Anolis sagrei: one gene and its partners. The protein of the gene in region 2 purifies or fractionates together with the protein of the main gene of each other region. This does not show direct contact. Links are inferred from orthologs where the notes say so. Each region holds a gene or a part of one and is shown on either strand. Other genes may lie near its edges. The genes, in order: DYRK2, DCAF1, COPS4 and CEP78.

What was found.
Region 1: the proteins of DCAF1 (region 2) and DYRK2 purify together in Homo sapiens (affinity purification with western blotting; 5 studies listed by BioGRID and IntAct, with this or other methods). This does not show direct contact. The link is inferred for Anolis sagrei from reciprocal best matches to the Homo sapiens genes DCAF1 and DYRK2.
Region 3: the proteins of DCAF1 (region 2) and COPS4 purify together in Homo sapiens (affinity purification with mass spectrometry; 4 studies listed by BioGRID, with this or other methods). This does not show direct contact. The link is inferred for Anolis sagrei from reciprocal best matches to the Homo sapiens genes DCAF1 and COPS4.
Region 4: the proteins of DCAF1 (region 2) and CEP78 purify together in Homo sapiens (affinity purification with western blotting; 3 studies listed by BioGRID, with this or other methods). This does not show direct contact. The link is inferred for Anolis sagrei from reciprocal best matches to the Homo sapiens genes DCAF1 and CEP78.

What each region holds. Positions count from the first base shown.
Region 1 is NC_090025.1:142,756,782-142,764,366, reverse strand, and holds the start of DYRK2 (dual specificity tyrosine-phosphorylation-regulated kinase 2), read right to left. Parts: upstream 3,016-7,585; 5' UTR 2,897-3,015; coding exon 2,845-2,896; intron 1,767-2,844; coding exon 1,600-1,766; intron 1,219-1,599; exon of another isoform or gene 1,140-1,218; coding exon of another isoform or gene 1,095-1,139; intron 1-1,094. UniProt on the Homo sapiens protein: Serine/threonine-protein kinase involved in the regulation of the mitotic cell cycle, cell proliferation, apoptosis, organization of the cytoskeleton and neurite outgrowth. Functions in part via its role in ubiquitin-dependent proteasomal protein degradation.
Region 2 is NC_090022.1:70,977,777-70,984,889, reverse strand, and holds the start of DCAF1 (DDB1- and CUL4-associated factor 1), read right to left. Parts: upstream 3,001-7,113; 5' UTR 2,842-3,000; intron 1-2,841. UniProt on the Homo sapiens protein: Acts both as a substrate recognition component of E3 ubiquitin-protein ligase complexes and as an atypical serine/threonine-protein kinase, playing key roles in various processes such as cell cycle, telomerase regulation and histone modification.
Region 3 is NC_090025.1:17,418,245-17,425,229, forward strand, and holds the start of COPS4 (COP9 signalosome complex subunit 4), read left to right. Parts: upstream 1-3,979; 5' UTR 3,980-4,009; coding exon 4,010-4,083; intron 4,084-6,985. UniProt on the Homo sapiens protein: Component of the COP9 signalosome complex (CSN), a complex involved in various cellular and developmental processes.
Region 4 is NC_090025.1:190,094,681-190,102,257, forward strand, and holds the start of CEP78 (centrosomal protein of 78 kDa), read right to left. Parts: upstream 3,022-7,577; 5' UTR 2,898-3,021; intron 1,842-2,897; 5' UTR 1,826-1,841; coding exon 1,573-1,825; intron 1-1,572. UniProt on the Homo sapiens protein: Centriole wall protein that localizes to mature centrioles and regulates centriole and cilia biogenesis. Involved in centrosome duplication: required for efficient PLK4 centrosomal localization and PLK4-induced overduplication of centrioles.

The DNA of each region.
Region 1 (7,585 bases), on a different chromosome or scaffold from region 2:
TATATTCTGCCCTTCTCCACCTTCCATAAATAGATCATCATGCTTGAGAAGTTCCCTCCCTTGTAGCAGATTAGCTGCAACTTGAAGATTATGTGAGAAACCACAGCCTTGCAAATAATGCCAACACCTGTTTCCCTAGTGAATGGTGTTTACAAGGGCAGTGTCACACTCCAGCCTACTTTACTGTCTCTGGCTGTTCCACTGGAAATGGATCATCAGGTCTGGGGTGGTCTAACAACTAGTCTAAAATCAGGACAGTAAAGAAAGAGCAACACCCAAAAAGCAGGGAAATCCAGACAAGAATCAATCAAGGCCAGCTAACGTCTCCCAACAAAGAATCCCCCCCCCCCGACAGCAACTTGCCAGACTTTGAAGCTGCAAGGCCATTCAAAGCTAATCAAGGTGGCCAATTCCAACATTCACACTTGCCTCAAGCAGACAAGAGTTCTTTCTCCCACCCTGGACATTCAACAGATATATAAACCCCAGTTGCCTTGTTTCCAACAGATCCCTCAACCTCTGAGGATGCCTGCCATCAATGTGGGTGAAACATCAGGAGAGAATGCTTCTGGAACATGGCCATACATCCCGTAAAATTCACAGCAACCCAAAATAAGAACTTTTCTTTTAGTTCTGAGAGGTGAATCCTTTGTCATAAAACGACTAACTACATCTTCCAGAAACACTCTTATAACCACACTGCATTGACTAGACTGTACCAAAAACTTGTTGAGAAAATGACAGCCACCAGAAAGATGACCAAACCAGCAGTGGCTTTTCAGTCCAGCCACAAGGACCGTTCTTTCTCACCTCGTCAACCTCCTGAGCAGGCCCCTTTTTATTTTCCTTTGTTTCAAATCCATCACCCAGCACTGAAATCTTGAATGAGCCTCAGAGAGAAAGATGCAAAAGCCTCCTCCAGTTGTGATGTGAGCGATGCAACACCCTTGCATGGCTCACACAGGTGACCTGACTGGAGGGCTCCATCTCTCCTTGCCAAAGTGGCCCAGAGCGTTCATCAGTCTCCAGAGCGCCTCCAGACCTTGCTTCTCCCCTCTTACCCTTCTGCCCCTCTACAACGAAATCACAAGTACCTGTTGAAACCAGACAGGGAAGAGGACTAGGACGTGTTGAGACATGCCGGCGGTGGCGGGGAATTAATGGGGCTCCTCCATGCCCTGGAAAGCAAGCTCATGCCCACCTCCCACTCAGACAGGCTGGCTGGCAGCCTGACTGTACCTTGCAGATTGCTTGCTATTAATACCCAGGAAAGGAGGAGAAGGAGGAGCAGAAGCAATTGGGGGAGGCAGTGGAGGGGGGGGGGCTTATGAGTGGCTGGCATTCAAGTCTTCTGGGGATGGATGGGAGGGAGGAGGGTCCAAGGTTGGCACGGGGGGGGGGAGAGCAGAAGCAATTGGGGGAGGCAGTTGGGGGGGGCTTATGAGAAGCTGGCATTCAAATCTTCTGGGGATGGGGATGGAGGGGAGGGAGAGAGAGATAGAGCGAGGGAGAGTCCAAGGTTGACACTGAGCAGATCATATATATATACCCATCCCTCCAAAGCCCCCACCCTTAAATCCCGGCCTCGCTCTTCCTCACCGTGTGGGCAGCGCTGCTGGGCTTGAGCGGCGGCAAAGCGATGGGCGAAGGCGGTCCAGCGGTGCCCGGTCCGGCCCGGGAGGCCCCTCCGGCGCCGAGGCCTGGCGAAGGCTGGCACTGGAGGGCGCCCTCCCCTCCTCCTCCTCCTCCTGCTACTGCCCTGCTGCCTGAGGAGGGAGAAGAAGCCAGAAGAGAGAGGCTAAAGAGGAGAGCCTGAGAGGGTCCAGGAAGAGGAAGTGGGGGGGAAACACAACAGAGGGAGCCCCCCCGCCCCCTCCTCTATTGCGGAGGGGTGGGGGATGGGGTGCTCGCGAGGGGAGGGAGGGGCGATCCCTTCCCCTCGGGTCAACCTTCCTTCATCCACGGTCAACCCACACGCCGCAGAGGCAGAAGGGAGAAGCCAGGGGGGATTTGAGTGGCGTGCAGTCCCCTCCTCCCTCCCCCCTCCTTTCTCCGCTTGGTCTGGGGCCTCGATGGCAGGGAAGGGTCTTCACGCAGAGCCCGATCCAAGGCCAGCCCAGGAACCCCACTCCAAGTGGGTTTTTGCCTGTCCCCGTTTCCCTCAAGGGGGGAAGAGATGACCCTGCAACGCCGACTATAGAAGCGTCGCTGTCCTCTAGGAGCCCTTCCACACAGCCCTATAGCCCAGAAGATCAAGGCAGAAAATGCCACAATATCGGAGTGTGGACTTAGGGCCCTTCCACACAGCCCTATAGCCCAGAAGAACAAGGCAGAAAATGCCACAATATCTGCTTTGAACTGGGTTATCTGAGGGCCCTTCCACACAGCCCTATCTCCCAGAAGATCAAGGCATAAATCCCATATTATCTGAATGTGGACTCAGTTCAAAGCAGATATTGTGGGATGTTCTGCCTTGATATTCTGGGGCTGTGTGGAAGGGCCCTAAGTCCACATTCAGATCTTCTGCCTTGATCTTCTGGGATATAGGGCTGTGTGGAAGGGCCCTGAGTCCGCACTCAGATATTGTGGCATTTTCTGCCTTGATCTTCTGGGGCTGTGTGGAAGGGCCCTAAGTCCACATTCAGATCTTCCGCCTTGATCTTCTGGGATATAGGGCTGCGTGGAAGGGCCCTAAGCCCACGCTCAGATATTGTGGGATTTTCTGCCTGGATCTTCTGGGCTGTAGGGTTGCCCTTGGACCTGCGGCGCCGGGCCTTCCTCCAAGGGCCTTTCCCACTGGGGGCTGGGCCCCGCTGCCCTGTCCAACCCCTCGCTCAATCTCACCAGCAGCAGCGGCTCCTCCAGCCCCGGCAGCAGGTTTCCTGGTGGTTAACATGGCCGCTGGTGGGGAAGGACTGGGGAGCGCATCTCAGGGCTGCTGCTGCTGCTGCTGCTGCTCCGCCTGCGCCTCCTCCTCCTCCGCCTCCTTCTCTTCCTCCTGGCGCTCCTCTCCTCCGCGCTGGGCGCCGGCGTTGCCTCGCGAGCCCCCAGGCCCCGGCCCCTCCGCGGCATCCGTCCCCCAAGAGCCCGGGCCCGCCGCCGGGCAGAAGCAGCCCCGCGCGCCCCGCCCGGCCTCGGCCTCCGCTCTCTCCTCCTTCCCCTTCTCCTCCTCCTCCTCCTCCTCCTCCTCTCCTCCTTGCTCCGGAGGCACCAAAGGCATCACCCGGGCAGCGTCCAGGGTCCCCCGGTGCCTTCGCGGGAGGAAGGGGAGGGGGGCGGCAGCATGAGGGGCTCCCTTCTTCCACCTCCCTCCCTCCCTCTTGCCTTCCTTCTCGTTCTCCTCCCCTTCAGAGAGACAAACACAGGCGGAGCGACCGCCTCGAGCCCAAGGAGGGAGGGGGGCAGCCAAGTTAAGCCCCGCCCCCTCGCCCTTAGCCCCGCCCCTCACACTTTCCCCGAACCCTCTCCTCTCACTCCCTGGCTCGGATCTGACAGAATGGCAGCCCCTCCCCGGCGCGACACACTCTCCCCTTCAAAGAGGCAAACACAGGCGGAGCGACCGCCTCGAGCCCAAGGAGAGGGGCTAGCAAGCCAAGCCCCGCCCCTCGCCCTTGGCCCCGCCCCTCACACTTTCCCCGAACTCTCTCCTCACTCACTGGCTTGGATCTGACAGAGTGGCAGCCCCTCCCCGGCCCTGGATTGAATTGAAAGGCGAGGGAGGCGGCGATGTGCAGCCCCTCCCTCTTCCCTTCCTCCTCCTCCTTCTCCTCCTCCTCCACACACGTAGGCAGTGGCTACTGCTCGCCCCGGGCCACGCAAAAGAGGGGGAAGAGGGTGCTCGCCTCAGGCCCTTTCTCCTTTCCCCCCCGCGGCGCCTTCACTTTGTGAGAAGAGAGAGCGGCCGTCGACGAGAAACAAAAGATTTCAGATTGTAGGGAGGCCAAATAACGTGGGGCACGTCCTGAAAGAGAAAAGGAGCCGCTCTTCCAAATGGGGCGCGAGGCCATAGAAGGAGGGGGCGAGGAGACGCAATCAGCATCCTAACAATAGTAGTATTTCCTGCCCAAATCTCCTCGTGGCTCGAGGCGGGTTACCACATCATAGAATCATAGAGTTGGGAGAGACCTCATGGGCCATCCAGTCCAACCCCTTGCCTAGAAGCAGGAAAATCGCATTCAAAGCACCCCCGACAGATGGCCATCCAGTCTCTGCTTAAAAGCCTCCAAAGAAGGAGCCTCCACCACACTCCAAGGCAGAGAGTTCCACTGCTGAACAGCTCTCACAGTTGGTTCTTGTGGGTTTTTTCGGGCTATATGGCCATGTTCTAGAGGCATTTCTCCTGACGTTTCGCCTGCATCTATGGCAAGCATCCTCAGAGGATGCTTGCTATAGATGCAGGCGAAACGTCAGGAGAAATGCCTCTAGAACATGGCCATATAGCCCGAAAAAACCCACAAGAACCTAGTGATTCCAGCCATGAAAGCCTTCGACAGCTCTCACAGTTCTCCCTAATGTTCAGTGGAATGTTCTTTTCTGTAGTTTGAAGCCATGTTTCTGCATCCTAGTCTCCAGGGCAGCTGAAAACAAGCTTGCTCCCTCCTCCCTATGACTTCCCCTCACATATTTATACATGGCTATCATGTCTCCTCTCAGCCTTATCTTCTGCAGGCTAAACATGCCCAACTCTTTAAGCCGCTCCTCATAGGGTTTGTTCTCCAGACTCATGATCATTTTAGTCACCCTCCTCTGGACACATTCCAGATTGTCAACATCTCCCTTCTATTGCAGTGCCCAGAATTGGACACAGTATTCCAGGTGTGATCTAGCCAAGGCAGAATAGAGGGGTAGCATTACTTCCTTGGATACAGACACTAGATTCCTATTTATACAGGCCAAAATCTCATTGGCCTTTTTTTTTTTTTTGCCACCACATGACATTGTTGGCTCATGTTTAACTTGTTGCCCATGAGGACTCCAATATCTTTTTCACACATACTGCTATCGAGTCACACATCCTCCATTCTTTGCATTTCATTTTTTTCTGTCTAAGTGGAGTATTTTGCATTTGTCACTGTTGAACTTCATTTTGTTAGTTTTGGCCCATCTCTCTAATCTATTAAGATCCTTGTGAATTCCGCTCCTGTCTTCTGGAGTATTGGCTCTCTCTCCCAATTTGGTGTCGTCTGCAAACTTGATGATCATGACTTCCAACCCTTCATCTAAGTCATTAGGAGCCCCCAGTGGCGCAGTGGGTTAAACCCCTGTGCCGACAGGACTGAAGACCAACAGGTCGCATGTTCGAATCAGGGGAAAGCGCAGAGGAGCTCCCTCTATCAGCTCCAGCTCCTCATGCGGGGACATGAGAGAAGCCTCCTACAAGGATGATAAAACATCAAAAACATCTGGGCGTCCCCTGGGCAACGTCCTTGCAGATGGTCTATTCTCTCACACCAGAAGCAACTTGCAGTTTCTCAAGTCGCTCCTGACACGACAAAAAAAAAATCCAAGTCATTAATAAAGATGTTGAACAGGACCGGGCCCAGGAGGGAACCCTGTGGCACTCCACCCATCACTTCTTTCCAGGATGAAGAGGAAGCATTGGTGAACATCTGGTGAGGAAGCCTTGGTGAGCACATCTCTAAAGATGAAACATCTCTGATGAAGGTCAGGTCTAGGACAGAGTGGGGAAAGATGGACTGGATTTTCCTCTGGAGAAAAAAGGCTAGACCAGGCATGGGCCAACTTGGGCCCTCTGGGTGTTTTGGACTTCAACTCCCACCATTCCTAACAGCCTCAGGCCCCTTTCTTTTCCCCCTCAGCCGCTTAAGTCCAAAACACCCAGAGGGCCTAAGTTTGCCCATGCCTAGGATAGACCCTGGAAAAATCAAGGGAAGCTTCATTCTATCATTATTATTCTATCATAATCTTGTAACTGAGATGCAAGGTGGACTCTTAGCAGGTTATTTTTGAAGCCACACTGAGAGGATGCCCATTGCCCAACCTAAGTGACCTCTTCTAAGGCTGTAGAAGTGTCTTTCTCTATGGGGAAATCTTGCTCTGTGTTCCTTCTCCAGAGCCCAAAGGAGAAAACCTCTCACCCCCCTTCTTTGCCTGCTACTTGAAGGAATCCCTCCCTCTCTTCGTGGGCGGAGAGTTGTTTATAAACAATGCACTGGAAAGGCAGAAGGAAGAACTTCCTTCTGAAACTCTAGAGAGAAAGAGAAAAAAAACTTTAGTGTGAGATAAGCAGGGAACAGGGAGGATGATAAGTTATCTCTTGTCCTTCTTTGGGTTTGTGCTTTCCCTTTCGAAAGAGGGCAAAGGAAAGCTTTGGAGGCAGCATAGTGTAGTGGTTTGAATGTTGGGGTGTGGGACATCCACATGCCCAATGTCTTCTTGGCAAGAGTTGTCCAGAAGGGGTTTCTTGCGACCCTCCTCAGAAGTCAAGAGTGTGGCTTGCCCAATGTCTCCAGGTGGGTTTCCAATATGATTTGAGACTGGAGCCCTGTTCTCCAGAGTCATAAGGTATATCTCTCTAAACTGTAATATGAAGACAGTTTGACACCACTTTAACTTCCTGGAGGTAATGCTATGGAATGCTGCGGATTACAGTTTGATGCAGTTTGATCTCTCCCATCAAGTGCTCTTTGGAAGAGATGTCTAAAGCCCTTGAAAACTGCCATCTTCTGTGAATCCATAGCATTGAGCCACGGCAGTTAAAGGTTTTTTTTTCATTTTTGAGAAACTGCAAATCACTTCTGGTGTGAGAGAATTTGCTGTCTGCAAGTATGTTGCCCAGGGGACGTCAGGATGTTTTACCATCCTGTGGGAAGTTTCTCTCATGTCCCGGCATGAGGAGCTGGAGCTGACAGTCAGGAGCTCACCCTGCTCCCTGGATTCAAACCACCAACCTTTCCGTTAGCAGTCCTGATCATTGTGCCACCACATGAAATTGCATTCATTCTACACTGTAGATCAGGTAGGTGCAAATTTCGGCCCTCAGGAATTGTGGGAGTTGAATCCCAAAACACCTGGAGGGCTAAAGTTTGCCCATTCCTGCTGTAGATGCACCTTATGACTCTGGAGAGCAAGACGTGAATCTCCTATAAACCACAAAAACCCACATTAGGTATGTCACACACTCTTGGCCTCGGAGGAAAACAATGGCAAAGCTCTTCTGGACAAATTGTGTCAAGAAAGCCCTGTGATAGTTTTGCCTTAGGGTAGCCCTAGGTCAGACATGACTTGAAGGCACATGGCAACAGCAAAAGAAATGTAAAGAGGGAGATCTTGTTCCTTTAACAAAACATACTCTTAATAAAACACAAATATTCCCATTGTGGAAATGAATAAAAGTGTAAGCAGTACAACACTTACTCCAGCAATTTGCCAAATGCTAACTATTGAGTGAGCATGTTTCTTTTAAACTTACTGTATATGTGGCAGATAGGAGTGGTCCATTTATAGGATTGCTGAAGGGAGAGGGAGATAAGGATGTGCTGGTGAAGAAAGAAGGAAAAAGCAGCTGTCTCAGTCTAGATAAGTAAGAGGCAAGACTGGTAACTATGCAGAATAAGGAACCCCT
Region 2 (7,113 bases):
ACCCAAACTTAAAAGAATTGAAAGTGAGACTGTCTATGTAGGCTGTCATTTACTTGTTCATAGTTTTCATTGAGTTCTGAGGGACAAAACCAAAGAGCTACAATTCAGAATACAGGTAAGGGAAAATCCAAATCATAGAGTTGGAAGAGACCTCGTGGACCATCCAGTCCATCCACCTGTCAAGAAGCAGGAAAATCACAATCAAAGCACTCCCAACAGATTGCCACCCAGCCTCTGCTTGGACTGGATGACCCATGAGGTCAGAAAATCACAACAGAACAGAGAAGGTGACAGATGTAGTCACATATGCTGCTTCTAGATGTGGTGTCCAGATATATCTCTTCTACTGTACAAATTATTAGATGCTATTTACTTCAATGGGATATGTGTAAAAACTCTTATTCTATAGGATCAAAATAACTGCCTTCTCCCTGCCTGGTATTTCTGGTCAAACCTGTACAAAAAGGTCTAAACACAGAACACTGCCATTTATCTATGTACTTATTACATCTCCTCAGAAATCTACAGTACAATTGGACCTCTAGAGCTATAGTTTCAGCAACCAAAGACTCCATGGCTTGAAAATATTTTTAAATTCCCAAATACAAATCTTTATTTTGCCATTTACACCACTTTACTAGAACCTTGCATAATGAGACTTGAGCATCCATGGGTTTCAGTATTCATGGAGAGTCCTGGGATCAAACCTCAGTGGAATTTTCCAAACATGCTTGTGGTAATAACAATGATAAGTAATGATATTCCTTGGAGAAAATAATACATAACTTCTATATGCGCAGCACACACATTTGCCAATACAAAATGAAAAAGGAATGTATGGGACAAGCCATCTTTTTCAGAAATTGTTTGTTATGTTGAAACTAGAAATAGTAGACCTGAAGCCAATTCGAGTTTTGAATGGAAAGGTGGACAGTGACAGTCCACTGTCAAGGTAAAAGCATTTCCCTCATATACACAGATGTCACCTTATGATCACCTTTCAGGGTCCACTTTGGGTATTCGAAGGTGCATTACATTGTAGAATGAATGCAGTTTGACACCACTTTAATTGCCGTGGCTCAATTCTGTGAAATACTGGTATTTGTACATTTGTGGGCAGAGAAATCTAAAAACTTGTAAAACTATAGCTTCCATGATTCCATAGCACTGAGCCATAGCAGTTCAAAATGTGTCTAGCTTCTTTAACGATACAGTGCAGATGGACCCAAACACGATTTCCAGGGCAATGTCCTAACTCCACATTAATCCCTCCTATTCCTGGATCACGTGCAAAAAAGAGCAAGAAGGGGCTTCAAGCAGTTAAATCTCCCCAGGAAGTTGACACTCAGGGCTTCATCATCCCTCCCCTACAAACAGAAGCCAAAGATATGGAGGGGAGAGAGCAGGGATAAGACAGAGAGGTCAAATGATGCTGGCATCAGAAAATACTAGAAGCTAGGAGAAACCAGTTAGAAGAAGAAGCAATGGATTCAAACTGCAAGAAAAGAGATTCCACCAAAACATTAGGAAAAAAACTTCCTGGTGGTAAGAGCTGTTAGGCCAGGCATGGGCAAACTTCGGCCCTCCAGGTGTTTTGGACTTCAATCCCCACAATTCCTAACAGTGGCTGCTAGGAATTGCAGGAGCTGAAGTCCAGAACACCTGAAGAGCCAAAGTTTACCATGCCTGTGTTAGGCAGTGGGATATACTAAATCAGAGTGTAGTGGAGTCTCCTCTGGAGGTTTTTAATTATAGGCTGGATGGCCATCTGTTGAAGGTGCTTTGAATGAGTATTCCTGCATGGCAGAAGGGGGCTGGGCTGGGTGGCCCTTGAGGTCCTTTCCAAGTATGGTTCTAGGACAGGCATGGGCAAACTTCAGCCCTCCAGGTGTTTTCGACTACAACTCCAATTCCTAACATCATACCAACTGTGTTGTCGAAGTCTTTCATGGCCAGGATCACTGGGTTGCTGTGAGTTTTCCGGGCTGCATGGTCATGTTCCAGAAGCATTCTCTCGTGACGTTTCTCCCATATCCATGGCAGGCATCCTCAAAGGTTGTGAGGTGTGTTGGAAACTAGGCAAGTGGTGTGTGTGTGTGTGTGTGTGTGTGTATGGAATGTCCAGGGTGGGAGATAGAATTATTGTCTGCTTGAGGCAAGTGAGAATGCTGCAATTGATCGCCTTGATTTAGCACTGAATAGCCTTGCAGGTTCAAGGCTTGGCTGCAGGGCTACAACTTCTGAGAATGCCTGCCACAGATGTGGGCGAAACGTCACGAGAGAATGCTTCTGGAACATGGCCATACAGCCCGGATAACTCACAGCAACCCAGCCTAGCGGTTGTTAGGAATTGTGGGAGTTGTAGTACAAAGCACCTGGAGGGCCGAAGTTTGCCTATGCCTGTTCTGGAAGGAGGAGGAGGGGAAAGAATAAGGATCCGCTTTGCCCCAGGCTGGTCGCCCTTTGACCTCCCTGTGAGGCCTTTTAGGGGCGGAGAGAGAAAGGGGGCGGGCGAGAGAAAGAGAGAGAGAGAGAGGACCATTGAGGGAGACCGGCTTCCTCTTCCACGCGTGTTCAATGGTGCCCGAGCCAAGCGAGAAAGGGGAGAGAAAGGCTCAACCCCATGTGAACGCGCTCTGGATCGCGGCCAGGGCTCAGATTCCCCACTACAAGCCGGAGGAGAGAGAGAGGGAGGGAGGGAGGGAGGGAGGCGGGCTGAGGAACACATGGGCGCCCCTTGCCAGCAGCCGGCCTCCTTCCGCCTGTCACCGGCCTCAACTCCTCGGCCCGGCGCCTCCTCCCTCCCTTCCCCGTCCTCTTCCCTTCCCTCGCGGCCCTTACCTGCCCGGCCTTCCGCCGCCTCGTCGCCTCGCCTCGGCCTCCTCCTCCTCCTCCGCCTTCCTCCGGGCCCCACGCACCGTCGCCCGGCGGCCGCTCTGCCTATGGCGGGCACACACTTGGCGCGTCACCGCCCGCGAGCGCCGTCGCCCCCACCACACGCGCGCGCGCTCTCGCTCATCAGTCGCCGCCGCGCCGCCAGGGAAGCCGGGAAGTGTAGTCCGGGCCCAGTGCGCATGCGCCAAGGCTACCGCATGGTCTGCCTTCGTCACCATAGCAGCCGCCTTCTCATTCCCGTAAATCATTTCGGGAGCCAGGATTTCGTTTCGGGGGGGGGGGGGGCTTTTTTCAGGGTGGGTTTCGGGGGGGGGGGGCTGAGCCTGAGTGAAAGAGGGTCTAGCCTAGCAAACCTTTTGTATCATTACCCCAATACCCCCATGCATATGAGATATATTGAGTATGGTGATCAGATCATGATATGAATAAACATAACAGTTTAAATAATGCACCAGGAAGGCCTTTTCGCGAACCACCATGAGAATTTCGGGGGTGGGGGGGGCCTGAAGCCCCTCAAGCCCCCCCCCCCCCCCCGGCTACATGTCTGTCGAGAGCCGTAGTCTTCTCTCCTTCCAAAGGACTTTCATGTATTTATTTACGACATTCATATGCCGCCCTTCTGACCCCGAAGGGGACTCAGAGCGGCTTACAAGTTTTATGTAATACAATATATTATTAGCATAGCGCAATATTAGTACCATACAATCCCATATTGTACCATGCGACTATACTGTAATATTATTAGTAATATTACATGTAATATTAAATATATAATTTTATTGTTTTATTATTAGTATTATATTGTATTCAGCCTCAGCAGACTGAAAGCCAAAACCAAGGTCACAACAACATCTGTTATAGAACTCCAGTATGCTGATGACAACATCATCTGTGCACATTCAGAAGAAGACCTACAAGCCACTCTAAACACCTTCGCAGAAGCATACGAGAAGCTCGGCCTGTCATTGAACATTGAGAAAACCAAAGTGCTCTTCCAGCAGTCACCAGCCAATCCCTCTCCAATGCCAGAAATACAGCTTAATGGTGTAAGACTAGAAAATGTTGACCATTTCCACTACCTTGACAGCACCTCTCCACCAAAGTCAACATTGACACTGAAATACTACACCGCCTGAGCTCGGTGAGTGCAGCATTTTTTCGAATGAAGCACAGGGTGTTTGAGGACAGGGACATACTTAAGGATACCAAGGTACTTGTTTATACCAAGGTACTATTGTCCTCCCAACCCTGCTATATGCCTGCGAGACGTAAACTATCTACAGACATCACATGCAACTCCTGGAACGATTCCATCACTGTTGCCTCCAAAAAATCCTGCAAATCTCTTGGAAAGACAAGCAGACAAATGTCAGCGTGCTGGAAGAAGCAGAGACCACCATCATTGAAGTGATGGTCCTCTGCCATCAACTCCGCTGGATCGGCCACGTTGTCCAGATGCCCAAACACCGTCTCCTAAAGCAGTTACTCTACTCCGAACTCAAGAACGGAAAACGGAATGTTGGAAGACAGGAAAAGAGATTTAAAGATGGGCTCAAAGCCAACCTTAAAATCTCTGGCATAGACACTGAGAACTGGGAAGCCCTGGTCTTTGAACACTCCAGCTGGAGATCAGCTGTGACCAGCAGTGCTGTAGAATTCAAAGAGGCATGAACGGAGGGTGAAAGAGAGAAATGTGCCAAGAGGAAGGCACATCAAGCCAACCTCAACCGGGACCGCCTTCCACCTGGAAACCGATTCCCTCACTGTAGGAGAACATATGTGAGTCAAGAATAGGGCTCCACAGTCACCTACGTACCCACCGCCAGGACACCGCACTTGGAGGACAATCTTACTCGGACATTGAGGGATCGTTTAAGTAAGTAAAGTGCATATCAATATTACATGTGTATACAATATAGTATATTATTAGCACAGCACAATATTGGCATTACATATTACATTACATATTACTATTTCGTACCACTATGCTGTAATATTATTAGCAATATCACATGTAATATAAAATATATAATTCTTAAATTGTATTATTACATTGTAATATTATTATCAATATATATGTATACAATATACTATATTATTTTACTGATACTTTGGAAAAGGCATGGGCAAACTTTGGCCCTCCGGGTGTTTTGGACTTCAACTCCCACCATTCCTAACAGCCTACTGAAGTTTGCCCATGCCTGTTTGGAAGGAGTGTTCTTGTTATTGTAAAGTTATGATCTAAGTTTACAGTGCATTCTGTGAGATAGTCTTCAGTTACAAGCATTAATACATATCCTTTTTTGTGTGTGTCAGGAGCAACTTGAGAAACTGCAAGTCGCTTCTGGTATGAGAGAATTGGCCGTCTGCAAGGACGTTGCCCAGGAGATGCCTGGATGTTTTGATGTTTTATCATCCCTGTGGGAGGCTTCTCATGTGCCTGCATGGGGAGCTGGAGCTGACAGAGAGAGCTCATCTGTGCTCTCCCCAGATTCAAACATCAGTCCTGCTGGCACAAGGGCTTAACCAATTGCACCACCAGGGACTCCAATACATATCCATAATACTGGTTGATGAAGCCTTATCAGAAATGCTTGGAACCAAAAATATTTTGGGTTTTTTTTTCTTTTTAAAATAATTAAATATTTGCATATACATTTTCTTTTCGTGTCAAGAGCAACTTGAGAAACTCCAAGTCGCTTCTGGTGTAAGAGAATTGGCTGTCTGCAAGGACGTTGCCCAGGGGACGCCCAGATGTGTTACCATCCTGTGGGAAGCTTCTCTCATGTCCCCACTTAGGAAGCTGGAGCTGACAAACAGGAGCTCACCCCACTCCTTGGATTCGAACTGCTGGCCTTATGGCCAGCAATCTTGCCGACACAAAGGTTTAACCAATTGCACCACTGGGGGCTTCTACTGCATATACATAATGAGATATCTTGGAGATGGGATTCAAGTCTAAATGATACATGATTTCTGCTCTGTTAAACCACAGTTTTGGATTCCTGGCATGCCTGGGCTCCAAAGTTTCAAACCACACAGGATGAAGGCAAGGATCAGAGGCTTTATTCACTGATTGGTGCAAGTTGGTGCTGGCTACAATCTGCGTACTGATTGGTGGAGGTGCACCGTCCACCTGATTGGACTCCTTGTCTGACAGGAACTTTAATAAAGGAATATAGACAGGTTAAAGGGTGATAATCCTGCCAGTTCAGATGACACAGTGGAACTAAGCCAGCAAAACAATGGGCGACAATGAGTTTTGGCACACCTGGATGGATTCTCAGGAAGAGACAAAGGCAGGGTGCTTGATGACTCCATGATATTTCCTGCTGGTCAGAGATGGGTTTATTGTGAGATGTAAGGCCCGTCGCAAACTAGGTTTCTGCTGGAGAAATCCTTGCTAGCAAGTCCCTGACGTCATGAGCCTGCGCCTCTCTCCCCGCCCCTTTCTCCGCCCCTTTCTCTTTGCGAGCGTGGTTTTTCCTTTGCTAGGGCAGCATTGCCCGCATTTTCTCTCAGTTGAATTCAGCCAACTGAGAGAAAATGCGGGCAATGCTGCCCTAGCAAAGGAAAAACCACGCTCGCATGGAGAAAGGGGCAGAGAAAGGGGCGGGGAGAGAGGCGGAGTCTCGTGACGTCAGGGACATGCTAGCAAGGTTTTCTCTCGCAGGAACAGAGTTTGCGACGGCTCTAAGAGTTTATTGTAGCAAGGAAAAGGATGGTCATGAGAGATTTTGTCATCTGCCTGAAGGAATAATGAGATTTGCCCTGTGTTCCCACTCCAACTAAGAACTGAACCAAAGGTCACCTCTGAATGTTAGCCTTACCATTCTGCTGAGGGAATTCGCTGGTGAGATCCTTCCTGGCATCTTCGTTGGCCGTGTGCTTTAGGGTCTTTTGGGGTCCCTGGGTTGTAACAACATAAACACAAAACTACTGCACATCTAATGCACATGTCTGAAACTAATTTTATACACAATAGTTGTTGATAATTTTGTGCATGAACAAAGTTGGGGTACATTGAAATATCAAAAAGCATCTTGACTCCCATGTGAACAATTTGGGATTTTGGACCATTTTGAATTTCTGGGATACTCAACCTGTATTTCTTGGGCCCCATCTGCACTGCCATATAATATATTTTGAAACTGCATGGTATGTTAGTGTTGATCTGGCCATAGTTAGATAAAATGTCTGATGGGAAACTAGGAAAGT
Region 3 (6,985 bases), on a different chromosome or scaffold from region 2:
CTGAACCTATGACACTAAATCTCGACAGTCTGTCAGCAGAAGTGATGTTTTCCTTCCCCACCTCCTCATCACCTGGCTCAGCAACATGCCAGCCACTTGAGGCTAAATATCAGCTAGAGTTTTCCTGTTTCTCCTGCCATGCCAAGGCTTCCTATACTCATTCCAACCCTAACAATCATGCCTCAATCTTCCATCAAAATGCTATTACGCTTACACCACTGGCTCAGCACCTGAAGCAGTAGTTCCTAATAAAAACAGGGGGAGGAGAATGTGGAACAGGACAGGGAAGGGCAGAAACTACGGCAGCCAACCCCTTCATCCCACACCCGCCCACCCTGTCCCTTCCCTTCCCACAAGCCAGCTGGACGAGTCCTGTCAAAGGAAACCAAGGAGAAAGGGAAAGCAATGTGTTTGGCTTTCCCTCCCTTATAAGAGCTGTCATGCCTCCTTCTTCCCACTCTTCATGCCAACTTCAAACTACTTCCCCTTTTGGGCTTTCTACTCTCAGACATTACCAGGAGTGACAAAGGTTGGCCCATGCCTAATCTACACTGGTCATCTAGTCCAACCTCCTGCCATGCAGGGAAAACAATCAAAGCACCCCTAACAGATGGCCATCCGTCCACTGTTTAAAAGCTTCCAAGGAAGGAGCTTCTACCACACTCCAAAGCAGTCAGTTCTTAGTACGTAGCATGTTTTGGAAATGTTAGAATTTCTCTAGAACATGGCCATATAGCCCGAAAAAAACTACAAGAACCCAGTAATTCCGGCCATGAAAGCCTTCGACAATACAAGGAAATGTTTCTGTTGGCATATTCTGGGACTGTATTCTTGAACAGTCATCTCATTCCGGGGAGGGCGCAGATGAGCTCCCTCTGTCAGCTCCAGCTCCCCATGTGGGGACATGAGAGAAGCCTCCCACAAGGATGGCAAAACATCAAAAACACCTGGGCATCCCCCTGGGAAACGTCCTTGCAGACGGCCAACTCTCTCACACCAGAAGTAACTTGCAGTTTCTCAAATTGCTCCTGATACAAAAAAATACACATCTGATTCTTGCCAAATACTTGGGGGGGGGGGCTTCTTATATTATTTCTAATGGTAACCTTTAGTGCTGATTTGTAAAACTTCCCTTTATAGCAGAGCCTTTGTTTTGGTTTCACCAGTTGCTTAATGCTATTTCTGGCTCTGTCAAAACACACAACACCCATGATCAACAATCAAGGAGCAAATATGCTAACATCCAGTTCACTATGGAAAAAGGAAGGAAGACTGCCTTTTCTAGATGTCCTAGTCATCCGTAAACCAGATCAACAATTGGATCACACAGTTTACAGAAAACCCACACACAGAGATAGATATCTACATAAAAACTCCAACCATCACCCAAGTCAAAAAAGAAGCACCATTAAAGCCTTGACAGACAGTGCAAAAAGAATCTGTGAACCCCACCTCCTCCAAGATGAACTGAACCACCTCAACTGGGCTCTCCAGGCCAATGGATACTCCACCTCAGACATCAGGAGAGCTTCAAGACCAAGAACAAGCCACGAGAGTACGGTAAAGATGAAGATCCACCCAGAGGAAAAGTGTTCCTGCCATACATCAAGGGAACCACTGACCGCATAGGGAAGCTGATGAGAAAACACAACATACAAACTATCTACAAACCCACCAAGAAAATCAAACAAATGCTACGTTCAGCAAAGGACAAGAGGGATCCTCTCACCTCTGCAGGAGTCTACCATATACCATGCAGCTGTGGACAAGTCTACATAGGGACCACCAAACGCAGCGCCCAAACACGAATCAAGGAACACGAAAGGCACTGCAGACTACTCCAACCAGAGAAGTCAGCCATAGCAGAGCACCTGATGAACCAACCTGGATACAGCATATTATTTGAGAACACAAAAATGCTCGACCACTCTCACAACCACCATGTCAGACTACACAGAGAAGCCATTGAAATCCACAAACATGTGGACAATTTCAACAGAAAGGAAGAAACCATGAAAATGAACAAAATCTGGCTACCAGTATTAAAAAATTCTAAAATTGCAACAGCAAAACAGCAGGGAGAAAAACAGGCAGGGACATCTAATCACCTTTCAAGAAGAGTTTGCTCCAGGCACTGTCAGCCCATTGTATGCTAATCAAGGTGGTCAGTGGAAAGATTCACACCCAGCCCAACTTACAAAAGCCCCTTTGTCTCACCCTGGCCATTCCACAGATATATAAACCCCTTTTTTCCCATTTCCAGTAGACCTCACCTCTGAGGATGCTTGCCATAGATGCAGGCGAAACATCAGGAGAAATGCCTCTAGAACATGGCCATATAGCCCGAAAAAACCCACAAGAACTGAGTGATTCCAGCCATGAAAGCCTTCGACAATACATTAAATATGCTATTTGTTTGTATTGGCATCGTATCGGTGCCCAATGTAAGGCATTGAATTTTGCCATTATTTATGTGTAAACTGCTTCGAGTCCCCCCAAGGGTGAGAAAGGCGGTACATAAATACTGGAAATAAATAAATAATTAATAAATAATAAATTTCTGTCCCTGGGTTTTTTTTTGGTTGTTGTTGTGTCAGGAGCGACTTCAGAGACTGCAAGTTGCTTCTGGTGTGAGAGAATTGGCCGTCTGCAAGGACGTTGCCCAGGGGATGCCCAGATGATTTGATGTTTTTATCATCCTTGTGGGAGGCTTCTCTCATGTCCCTGCATAGGGAGCTGGAGCTGACAGAGGGAGCTCACCCTCATTTTCCCCGATTTGAACCTCTGACCTGTTGGTCTTCAGTCCTGCTGGCACAAGGGTTTAACCCACTGTGCCACGGGGGGGGGGGGGGGGTTAAAATCCTCAATTCACGTTTATGTGGCACCAATGCTATGGGAAGTGGAAGTAGCACGGAGAAATCAATAGAATGAGTACAGATAAAGAGGTTATCTCATATTACACTAGGTAACAAAATTTGGAAAAAAAAATCTGTCGGTCTTCAGTCCTGCCGGCACAGGGGTTTAACAGGGCTCTGTCCCGGTCAAAACTCATAACACCCACAATCAACAATCAAGGAGTGATTAACAAGTTTTGGAGCTATCAACAAGCATGTGTCCTATTTAAATGCCAAAATGAATGTATGGTTTCAGTTGATGTGTCAGATATGCTCCTGCAAAAACAACAGATTGTCCACAGGGAAAAATTACACGGTGTGCAGTATGGATTAGGCCTGGGCCAACTTGGGCCCTTCCTCCTTCCAGGTGTTTTGGACTCCAACTCCCACAATTCCTAACAGCCGGCAGTGTAAATACACAAGGCCTGGGCCAACTTGGGCCCTCCCTCCAGGTGTTTTGGACTCCAACTCCCACAATTCCTAACAGCCTACCGGCTGTTAGGAATTGTGGGAGTTGAAACACCTGGAGGGAGGGCCCAAGTTGGCCCAGGCCTTGTGTATTTCCCTACTGTTAGGAATTGTGGGAGTTGGAGTCCAAAACACCTGGAGGGAGGGAGGGCCCAAGTTGGCCCAGGCCTGGTGTATTTACCCTGTCCCGTAATGCAGTTGATATGAGGCACCTGTCACTCCAGGGCGCGTTTCCCGTCAGGCTTCTCCTCCGAGCACCAGGCCTTCCTTCGCCCTCAGGCTGCCGTTAAACCCTCGCGGCCAGAAGCGCAGCCCTCTCTCCCCCGCCTCCGCTCTCTCCTCCTCCTCCTCCTCTCCCTTCTCTCCTTCTCCCGGTTCCGTGTTTGTTCAAAATCACGCGCCCAGCGCCATTCCGCCGCATCCCATAATAGCTCGGCAGCGCCGCCGTCTTGGCAACGGCTTCGGCGTCATCACTCTTCTCCCGCCTTCTCCAAAAACACAGCCACTTCCGGGTTGAAAGCGTCACTGTGCGTGCGTGCGTGTACGCGCGCGCGCTCGAGAATGACGCAGAGTCCGCCCTCATTGGTTTCTGAGGCGACGGAGGGGGCGTGGTTATTTTTCCCTCACCGGAAGTGTAGAAAAGAAAAATGGCGGCGGCGGTGAGGCAGGAGTTGACGCAGCTCATGAGCTCCAGCGGCTCCCACAAGGATTTAGCCGGGAAGTAAGCGACGGCTTCTTGGTTTTCGATGAGGGAAGGCGGAGCGGGGCAGGAGAAGCTCGCAAAAAGGGAAGGGAAGGCATTGTATTGTCGAAGGCTTTCATGGCCGGAATCACTGGGTTGTTGTAGGTTTTTTCGGGCTATATGGCCATGGTCTAGAGGCATTCTCTCCTGATGTTTCGCCTGCATCTATGGCAAGCATCCTCAGAGGTAGTGAGGTCTGTTGGAACTAGGAAAAAGGGGTTTATATATCTGTGGAATGACCAGGGTGGGACAAAGGACTCTTGTCTGTTGCAGCTAGGTGTGAATGTTTCAGCTGACTACCTTGATTGGCATTTGATGGCCTGGAAGTGCCTGGAGCAATCTTTTGTTGAGAGGTGATTAGATGTCCCTGATTGTTTTCCTTCTGCTGTTTTGCTGTTTTAATTTTAGAGTTTTTAATTTGCTTGCCACAGATGCAGGCAAAACGTCAGGAAATAATGCCTCTAGAACATGGCCATATAGCCCCCAAAAAAACCTACAACAACTGAGTGATTCCAGCCATCCTCAGAGGTAGTGAGGTCAGACTACACAGAGAAGCCACTGAAATCCACAAGCATGTGGACAATTTCAACAAAAAGGAGGAAACCATGAAAATGAACAAAATCTGGCTCCCGGTACTAAAAAAAAACTCTAAAATTACAACGGCTAAACAACAGAGAGGAAACAAACAAGGACATCTAATCACCTCTCAACAAAAGATTGTCCCAGGCACTGTCAGGCCATGAAATGCTAATCAAGGTAGTCAGTTGAAACATTCACATTTAGCTCCCGCAGACAAGAGTTCTTTGTCCCACCCTGGTCATTCCACAGATATATAAACCCTTTTTCCTTGTTCCAACAGACCTCACTATCTCTGAGGATGCTTGCCATAGATGCAGGCGAAACGTCAGGAGAGAATGCCTCTAGACCATCGCCATATAGCCCGAAAAACCTACAACAACCCAGGGAAGGCATTGATTCAGTGGTTTAAACACGGCCTGGCCCGTCCCTTGCCCATCTTCACTGTAGAATGAATAATAATAATCTATATAAATAAAAATGTAATGTTCGTTTGTGCTATCCATAGAACTCACAAACCACTGGGGCAACTGGCACCAAATTTGGACACGATACACCTAACAACCCAATTTATGTCCTTCATTCAAAAAATTGATTTTGTCATTTGGGAGTTGTAGTTGCTGGGACTTGTAGTTCACCTACAATCAAAGTACATTCCGAACCCCGTCAACGATGGAATTGAACCAAACTTGGCACGCAGTTCTCCCATGACCAACAGAAAATACTGGAAGGGTTTGGTGGGCAGTGTCCTTTGGTTTTGGAGTTGTAGTTCACCTACATCCAAAGATCACTGTGGACTCAAACAATGATGGATCTGGACCAAACTCTACAAGAATACTCAATATGCCGAAATGTGAACACTGGTGGAGTTTGGGGGAAATAGAATCTTGACACTTGGGAGTTGTAGTTGCTGGGATTTATAGTTCACCTACAATCAAGGAGCGTTCTGAACCCCACCAATGATAGAATTGGGCCAAAGTTCCCACACAGAACCTCCATGATCACAGAAATTACTGTGTTTTCTGATAGTCTTTGGCAACCCCTCTGACACAGCTTCGCAACCCCCCCAGGGGTCCTGACCCCCAGGTTGAGAAACACTGCTCTAGAACATGGCCATATAGCCCGAAAAAACCCAAACCCTGTAAAAGTTAGACAGTCATACACACATCTCAACATGTGTGTGTGCAATCTCACTGAGACCCCCTCCAAAAAAAATACTGCTTTATTGGGTCCCTTTTCATCTTCCAGGTTCTCTAATTCACTATGGATTCATCACATTTTGTCAACATCCTACCTCCACTTAGCCAAGCAAACATTTTCCTTCTCTTCTATTAATTATTTTTACATCCCCAGCTGTTAATGCCCTTTGCATGTGGTGTTATCGTTTCCCCTTCTCCTTGCTCTTGAACCTATTATCCTTGAGAGTTTTATGTACAGCAAACCATCTTTCAAAACAATTTCTCCCACTGCAACCAAAAGGCTTTCTCTAAGACAATTACTAAGTTGAACGTGTTTATAAATTGAGCAAAATCTTGCTTTTCAGTGTCCTTCAATTATTCCAATTATTCTTCAATTATTATTAAAATCCCAGCTACATTCCCTACCCTGAAGGAGGTTGCATCTCTACTCATCAGGATCAGTATGTGTCACCTTCTCAAATGCCACCGCTTGCCCTTTATTAAACCTATGGTACTAAACATAGTATTCCCAACATAGTATTCCCATGAGGCATCACCATCTGATCTGTGGAGACTTTCTAGGAAATAAACAGGTGCAGTCAGTGGACACAAATATGGTGTCACCTATAGCACTTTGCTGTTGTTCCTCCGCATCAGATCCTACTTACTTACTTAGGTTATCCCTCATTGTCCGAGTATTTTGGCCTTTCAATTGTAGTGTCTTGGTGGTGGATACATATAATAATAATAATAATAATAATAATAATAATAAACTTTATTTCTACCCCGCTACCATCTCCCCGATGGGGACTCGGAGCGGCTTACATGGGGGCAAGCCTGGACAACATAATACAGCAATAAAATCAAAACATATACAATGGACAGCAACAACATTATCAAAATGATATTAAAATAATAATGTTAACCCCTCAGCTGAACAGTTGTTAGGATGTAATCTCCATCTCAGATGGAATTTACTGGTTGATTTACCCTGTTTAATGATTAAATTATTGATACATTTGTACTCCTGCCTTGTCTATACAGTGAGCAGTAGGAAATAGGAGTAAGATACTGGTTTTCAAAGTGTTAAAAATAACTATTTTCTTTCCAGCAAGTCATGTTTTTAA
Region 4 (7,577 bases), on a different chromosome or scaffold from region 2:
TGTTTATTTGTGGGATTAACATAACTCAAAAACCACTGGATGAATTGCCGCCAAATTTGGACCCAATACACCTACTAACCCAAGGAGTGACCATCACTCAAAAAATGGTTTTGTCATTTGGGAGTTGTAGTTGCTGGGATTTATAATCAACCTACAATCAAAGAGCATTCTAAACTCTACCAATGATGAAACTGAACCCAACGTGGCACATAGGACTCCCATGACCAACATAAAACACTAGAAGGGTTTGGTGGGCATTGACCTTGAGTTTGGGAGTTGTAGTTCACCTACATCCAGAGAGCACTATGGACTCAAACAATGATGGATCTGGGCCAAACTTGGCATGAATACTCAATATGCACAAATATGAACACAGATGGGCTTTGGGGAAATAGACCTTGACATTTGGGAGTTGTAGTTACTGGGAGTTATAGTTCACCTACAATCAATGAGCATTCTGAACCCCACAAATGACAGAATTTGGGCAAACTTCCCACACAGAACCTCCATGATCAACAGAAAATACTTAAAGTCATCCAGTCCAACTCCCTTCACCTGGGCAAGAAAACATAATCAAAGCCCGTAAGAAGTCAATTTTTAAAAAAAAAACACATTACAACGCATGCACAAAAACACATATATACATATACACACACACATATATACACATGCACAATACATATACACAGACTGGGCCACAGCAATGCGTGGCAGGGGATGCCTAGTATTACAATATAATGGTATAGTACAATATAGTAATATTTAATACTGATATTGTACCATGCTAATAATATACTATATTGTATGTATATATATATATCTTGTAAGCTGCTCTAAGTCCCCTTCGGGGTGAGAAGGGTGGCATATAAATGTTGCAAATAAATAAAATAAAATAAAATTTTTACCGTGGCAACCCATCATGCCATTTCATCTTTGCAATCAGATTCATTTTCAGCTGGATCGATTGGCTGTTTGAAGCAAGTTTGGATGATGCAATTAACCAGCTTGATGAGCATTGAGTAGCCTTGCAGTTGCAAAGCCTGGTCGTTGTTGCTTCAAACAGACAAGGATTCTATCTCTCATCTAGGACATTCCACAGACATATACCCCACTTGCCTCATTTCCAACAGACCTCTGAAGATTTTTTTTCATGTCAGAAGTGACTTGAGAAACTGCAAGTCACTTCTGGTGTGAGAGAATTGGCTGTCTGCAAGGACGTTGTCCAGAGGATGCCTGGATGTTTTGATGTTTTACCATCTTTGAGGGACGCTTCTCTCATGTCCCCGCATGGGGAGCTGGAGCTGACAGAGGGAGTTCATTCCTACTCTTCCCTGATTTAAACCTCCAACCTGTCCGTCTTCCCTGCTGCCGGCACAAGGGTTTAACCCACTGCAACACCAGGGGTTCATACTTCTGAAGATGCCAACAACAAATGCAGGCCAAACATAAGGAGAGAATGCTACTGAAACGTGGCCCTACAGCCTGGAAAACTCACAGTAACCCAGTGATTTGGCCATGAAAGCCTTCGACAACAAAGATAGCATGATGCTTTGCCATTGAAAGAGTCCCTACCTGGGTCTGCATGTCCCTGATGGTGCAAGCTCTTGATGGCGATCGAAGTCAAGGTCTTGTTGTGCCTGAGCGCAGCCAGGAGAGGCAACCAGTCTGCACCTTTGATACGGTCTGCGTTTATATCAATCACGCCTTCAGGCTTTTTGGCCTGCACGGACACGAGGGGAGCGCAGCCTTGAACTGCACACAGGTGCTCATAATGGGAGTAAAAGTCCAGGCTGCACTGCCTCCTTATTTGGACTGATTCGATCATTTCTGGAGAGTCAACACTAAAAAGGAGGAAAACAAACACAAATATATCATTAATGTCATTTTAACTACTACTACTACACACATATAATAAGTTTGAATAGGTTGCTGTACGTTTTTCGGGATGTTATGACCATGTTCCAGAAGCATTCTCTCCTAACATTTTGCCTGAATCTATGTTTGAGGCAACATTCACACTTGCCTCAAACAGACAAAGGTTCTTTCTCCCACCCTGGACATTATTCCACAGATATATAAACCCAATTTTCCTAGTTTCCCAACAAACCTCACAACCTCTGAAGATGCCTGCGATGGATGTGGGCGAAATGTCAGGAGAGAATGCTGCTGGAACATGGCCAAACAGCCCAGAAAACTCACAGCAACCCAGTGATTCCAGGCATGACATCCTTAGACAATACAATAAGGTTGAATTCTTATCCTCTCTCCTCAAAGCTTTAAATTAAATTAAATTAATTAAAATGAATAGATAAAGCCTTTAAATGCATAGAGTAATAACATAAAACCATTGCAAACATATATATTAAAAGAATCATAGAATCAAAGAGTTGGAAGAGACCTCATGGGCCATCCAGTCCAACCCCCTGCCAAGAAGCAAGAACATTGCATTCAAATCACCCCTGACAGATGGCCATCCAGCCTCTGCTTAAAAGCTTCCAAAGAAGGAGCCTCCACCACACTCCGGGGCAGAGAGTTCCACTGCTGAACGGCTCTCACAGTCAGGAAGTTCTTCCTCATGTTCAGATGGAATCTCCTTTCTTGTAGTTTGAAGCCATTGTTCCTTGTCCTAGTCTCCAGGGAAGCAGTAAACAAGCTTGCTCCCTCCTCCCTGTGGCTTCCTCTCACATATTTATACATGGCTATCATATCCCCTCTCAGCCTTCTCTTCTTCAGGCTAAACATGCCCAGCTCCTTTAGCCGCTCCTCATAGGGCTTGTTCTCCAGACCTTTTATCATTTTAGTCACTCTCCTCTGGACACATTCCAAAGAGATAGGCATTTAAACCACGCTGAAGCCATTCAAAGCCAATACAATGCTACTCCTATTTGGTTACTTACAAGCAGGAGGCCAAAACATCCAAGGCTGGCTTAGGCTCCTCCCCCTCGCGCGTGTGGTAACCGTTGCCTTGGTTCCCCAACTGCCCTTTTCCTACTCCCACCCTCCCACGTGACGCGGAGAAGAGGCTCTGATTGGAAGAGAGGGAGAGGAAGGGGGCGGGACCACCAAAACACGCCCCTTTCCTCTCTACAGACACTTTCATTCTTGCTCTTTTCCTCACACATAACCCCGCCCCTTTTTGTAGTCCTCCCACGTGATTCATAAGCGAAGCTTCTGATTGGTCGGTCCGTACAAACGCGGCCCTTTTCTTCCCCCTCCCATTCCCTTGTTTCCTCAGACATAACTCCACCCCCTTGCCGCTACCGTCGTCACGTGATGCGTTGAAAGGTGCCACATGATTGGCCATCCCGTAAAACCACGCCCCCTTTGAATCTAACGCTCCTCCCCTTATTTTGCCATTCTTAGTTAATTTAAATAGATGGCGGGAAAGCTTGCATTTCACAAATTCCTTATTATAAAGGGATATATATTTGAATATATAATATATAAGAATATATAATATATAAGAAAGTAGGGAAGCCAAACATTCTATATTTGGGGCTGAGGACTTTTCACAGAGACAAGAACCATTCTTATTTATTTTATTTATAATATTCATAATATTTTGGCTTTCCTACTATATATATGCGTGTGTGTGTATATATTAAAGTAGGGATTCCAAATATGCTATGTTTTGGGCTGAGGACTTTTCATAGAAACAGGAAAAAATCTTATTTATTTTATCTATTATTATTATTATTATTATTATTATTAACTTTATTTGTACCCCGCTAGCATCTCCCGAGGGACTCGATGCGGCTTACACAGGCCGAAGCCTCAGAACACAATACAGTAAAAACATAACACAACAATAAACAAAGCAAATCAAAATAGTTAAGCAGAATAACAACAGTGACAATACATCAGGATACTTTAAAACTGGGCCGGCCAGAGCAATGGGGTACAGGGTTAAAAGTGCTGAAATGGCAGGAGGCACGTAGGGTTAAAATAGTCTGGTGTGCAGCAATATTAATTGTACTAAAGTGCTTCTAGGACTTGGGATGGGGAATTCCTAATCTGAGATTATAATATTTTTATAATATTATTTATAATATTGTGTGTGTGTATGTATGTATATGTATGTGTGTGTGTGTGTGTGTGTGTATATATATATATATATATATATATATATATATATGGGGACTTTTCACAGAGACAAGAACCATTCTTATTTATTTTATTTATAATATTATTTATAATATTTTGACTTTCCTACTATATATATTTGTGTGTGTGTATTAAAGTAGGGATGTCAAATATTCTATATTTTGGGCTGAGGACTTGTCACAGAGACAGGAAAAATTCTTATTTATTTTATTTATAGTTATAATTATAGAGAGAGAGAGAGAAAAAGTAGGAAAGCCAAAAATTCTATATTTTGGGCTGATGACTTTTCAGAAACAGGAATAATTCTTATTTATTTTATTTATAACATATTATTTAACACATCAAATCACCTCTCAAAGAAAGATTCCCCCAGGCACTTCCAAGACATTAAATGCTAATGAAGGTGGTCAATTGAAACATTCACACCTAGCTCCAGCAGACAAAAGTCCTTTGTCCCACCCTGGTCATTCCACAGATATATAATCCCATTTTCCTACTTCCAACAGACCTCACTACCTCTGAGGATGCTTGCCAGAGATGCAGGCGAAACGTCAGGAGAAAATGCCTCTAGAACATGGCCATATAGCCTGGAAAACCTACAACAACCCAAACATTCTATATTATGGGCTGAGGACTTTTCACAGAGACAGGAAAAATTCTTATTTATTTTATTTATAGCATATTATTTAATATTTACTATAATTAATAAGCTATATTTATTTGCGGCGCCGCAATAGGTTAACTCAGGCATGGGCGAACTTGAGCCCTCCAGGTGTTTTGGACTTCAACTCCCACAATTCCTGCTAGGTTGGTAGGGAAGCTAGTGCTGACAGAGGGGAGCTTCTCTCATGTCTCTGCATGAGGAGCTGGAACTGACAAAGTGAGCTCACTCAAGCTCTTCCTATATTCGACCTCTGATCTGTCAGTCTTCAGTCCTGCCAGCACAAGGGTTTAATCCATTGCGCCACCAAACGCATCATTGCCCAAACACGAATCAAGGAACATGAAAGACACTGCAGACTGATTCAAATAGAGGAGTCAACCACAGCAGAGCGCCTGATGAACCAACCTGGACACAGCATCTTATTTGAGAACTCAGAAATGCTGGACCACTCTCACACCACCATGTCACAGAGAAGCCATTGAAATCCACAAGCATGTGGACAATTTCAACAGAAAGGAGGAAACCATGAAAATGAAAAAAAATCTGGCTAGCACTATTTAAAAAATCCTCTAGAATTAGGACAGTAAATAAAGCACAACACTCAAAAAGCAGGGGAATTCTAGAAAAGAATCAATCAGGGCAAGTTTTTTTTCATGTCAGGAGCAACTTGAGAAACTGCAAGTCGCTTCTGGTGTAAGAAAATTGGCCATCTGCAAGGACTTTGCCTAGGGGGACACCCGGATTTTTACGATCCTTGTGAGAGGCTCCTCTCATGTCCCCACATAGAGAGCTGGAGCTGACAGAGGGAGCTCATCCATGCTCTCTCTGGATTCGAACCTGTAATCTGGCAGATGGTATTTGTGGCACAAGTTCCAATGAATCATCTGAGCAACCGTGTTATGCCTCTGCTTGTAGTCTGTCTGCGCAATCTTCTTGCAGCAGCTGAGAATGTGATCTATTGTTTCATCTGCTTCCTTGCAGAGTCTACATTTGGGATCTGTTGTCGACTTCAATTCTGGCTTTGATGGCATTGGTTCGAATGGCTTGTTCTTGGGCTTCCAGAATCAGGCCCTTCTTTGTCTCCTTTTTCAAAGTTCCATTTGTGAGCCACAGCCATGTTTTTTCTTTGTCAATTTGGCTCTCAATTTTTGCCAGAAACTGTCCATGGAGTTTTGTTTTCTTCCCTCCCTTCTCTTTTCCTTTCCTTTCATGGAGTTATTATTATTATTATTATTAGGAATATTTATATCCCACAAAGACCCACAGTATTTTTTTTAAAAAAATCAGTTATACAGATATTTAAATATACAGATATTTAAATAGAATTAAAACATACAATTAAAATGACTGGAAGCACTGAAAAACTTGTTCTTTGCAGATAAATCGAGACCCATTTGTGATTTTGCTGAAGTGGTGTCAAAACTGCATTAATTCTATAGCGTAGAAACACTCAATGTCTTCAAAAGCAGGCCACAAATTTCAAACATAAAAACAGAAGAAATCTATACTAATTTCATGTAAAATCTCTTTTTCTGATTATCCAAAAATACCCATTTGAAACAAAGGGAACATAACAGTTGAAACACTTCCACGGTTTATTGAAATATGGCTGCGAGAATAATTTTTTTCCATAGTTTTTTGGGTTTTACTCATGATTATTGGGATAAAATGTATTATTACGAGGCGGACATCTCTCCACTGTGCTTTTACATGAAAGGGGGGGGGGAGAATGTCAAGTAAACATATTGAGTCTTTTCTGTACAAATACACAATATTTACAACACACATTTACAACATGGATGTATACATTATTTTTTATATATATATAAAAAGAAGTATCTTTGAAATATCACTTGGCACCACACTATACAACAGGCATGGGCCAACTTGGGCCTTCCAGGTGTTTTGGACTACAACTCCCACAATTCCTAACAGCTGGTAGGCTGTTAGGAATTGTGGGAGTTGTAGTCCAAAACACCTGGAGGGCCCAAGTTGGCCCATGCCTGTTCTATAGTCTTTCACTATAACAAATGAGTGGTTATAGCATAAGCAACAGATATAACATTTAGGGACAAAACTAAATCATTTTCTTAGTCCGGACTAGTTTTCCTCAATGGGTCAACTTCAGGAGAAATTAACCCAAAGGATTCCAGCCACATTGAGACGACTTCACTTACTTTACTATGATTCTGGAGTCTTTATTATGCTGACCACTGGATGGAATATATTCTTAATCCATTTAGGGGAAAAAGGCATTATCATGCATACTTGAATGGATATGTTGTTAAATACCACGACGCACAACTAGCATGCCGGATTAATTACACCTGGCATAGCAAAGCCAAGGACTAAAGTAGGTAAGAGTGGATTTCAGTTGCTTCCACAGACTTGGCTTCACAAGGACGATAATATTATTGTTATTTTAATTCTTCTGGGGCTTTTTTGGCTCCACTGTGTCTTTTACATGTTTTGTATTTTACTATGTTATTTCTTGAATTTTCTGGGGACTATTCTTACTCTATAATAGTCAGCAAGCTACGCTCAGTAACCTTTCCTCATTTTCTGGCCACTGAGCAAGAACGTCTCATAGCAGTTTTGTAAATCTTTTTTTTAATCTATAATTTTTGTAAATCTACAATTTACATTTAGATTGCTTCACAAAACAAGGCCCATCTGATACTATGCTTCTTTTAATCCTTCTGAAGCTTTTTGGTTCTGTTGTGTCTTTTATATATTTATATATTGTTATTAGTGTATTTATTTTTATTTATATTCCATTTTTATATCTTGATTAAAGTGCAAAGCAGCT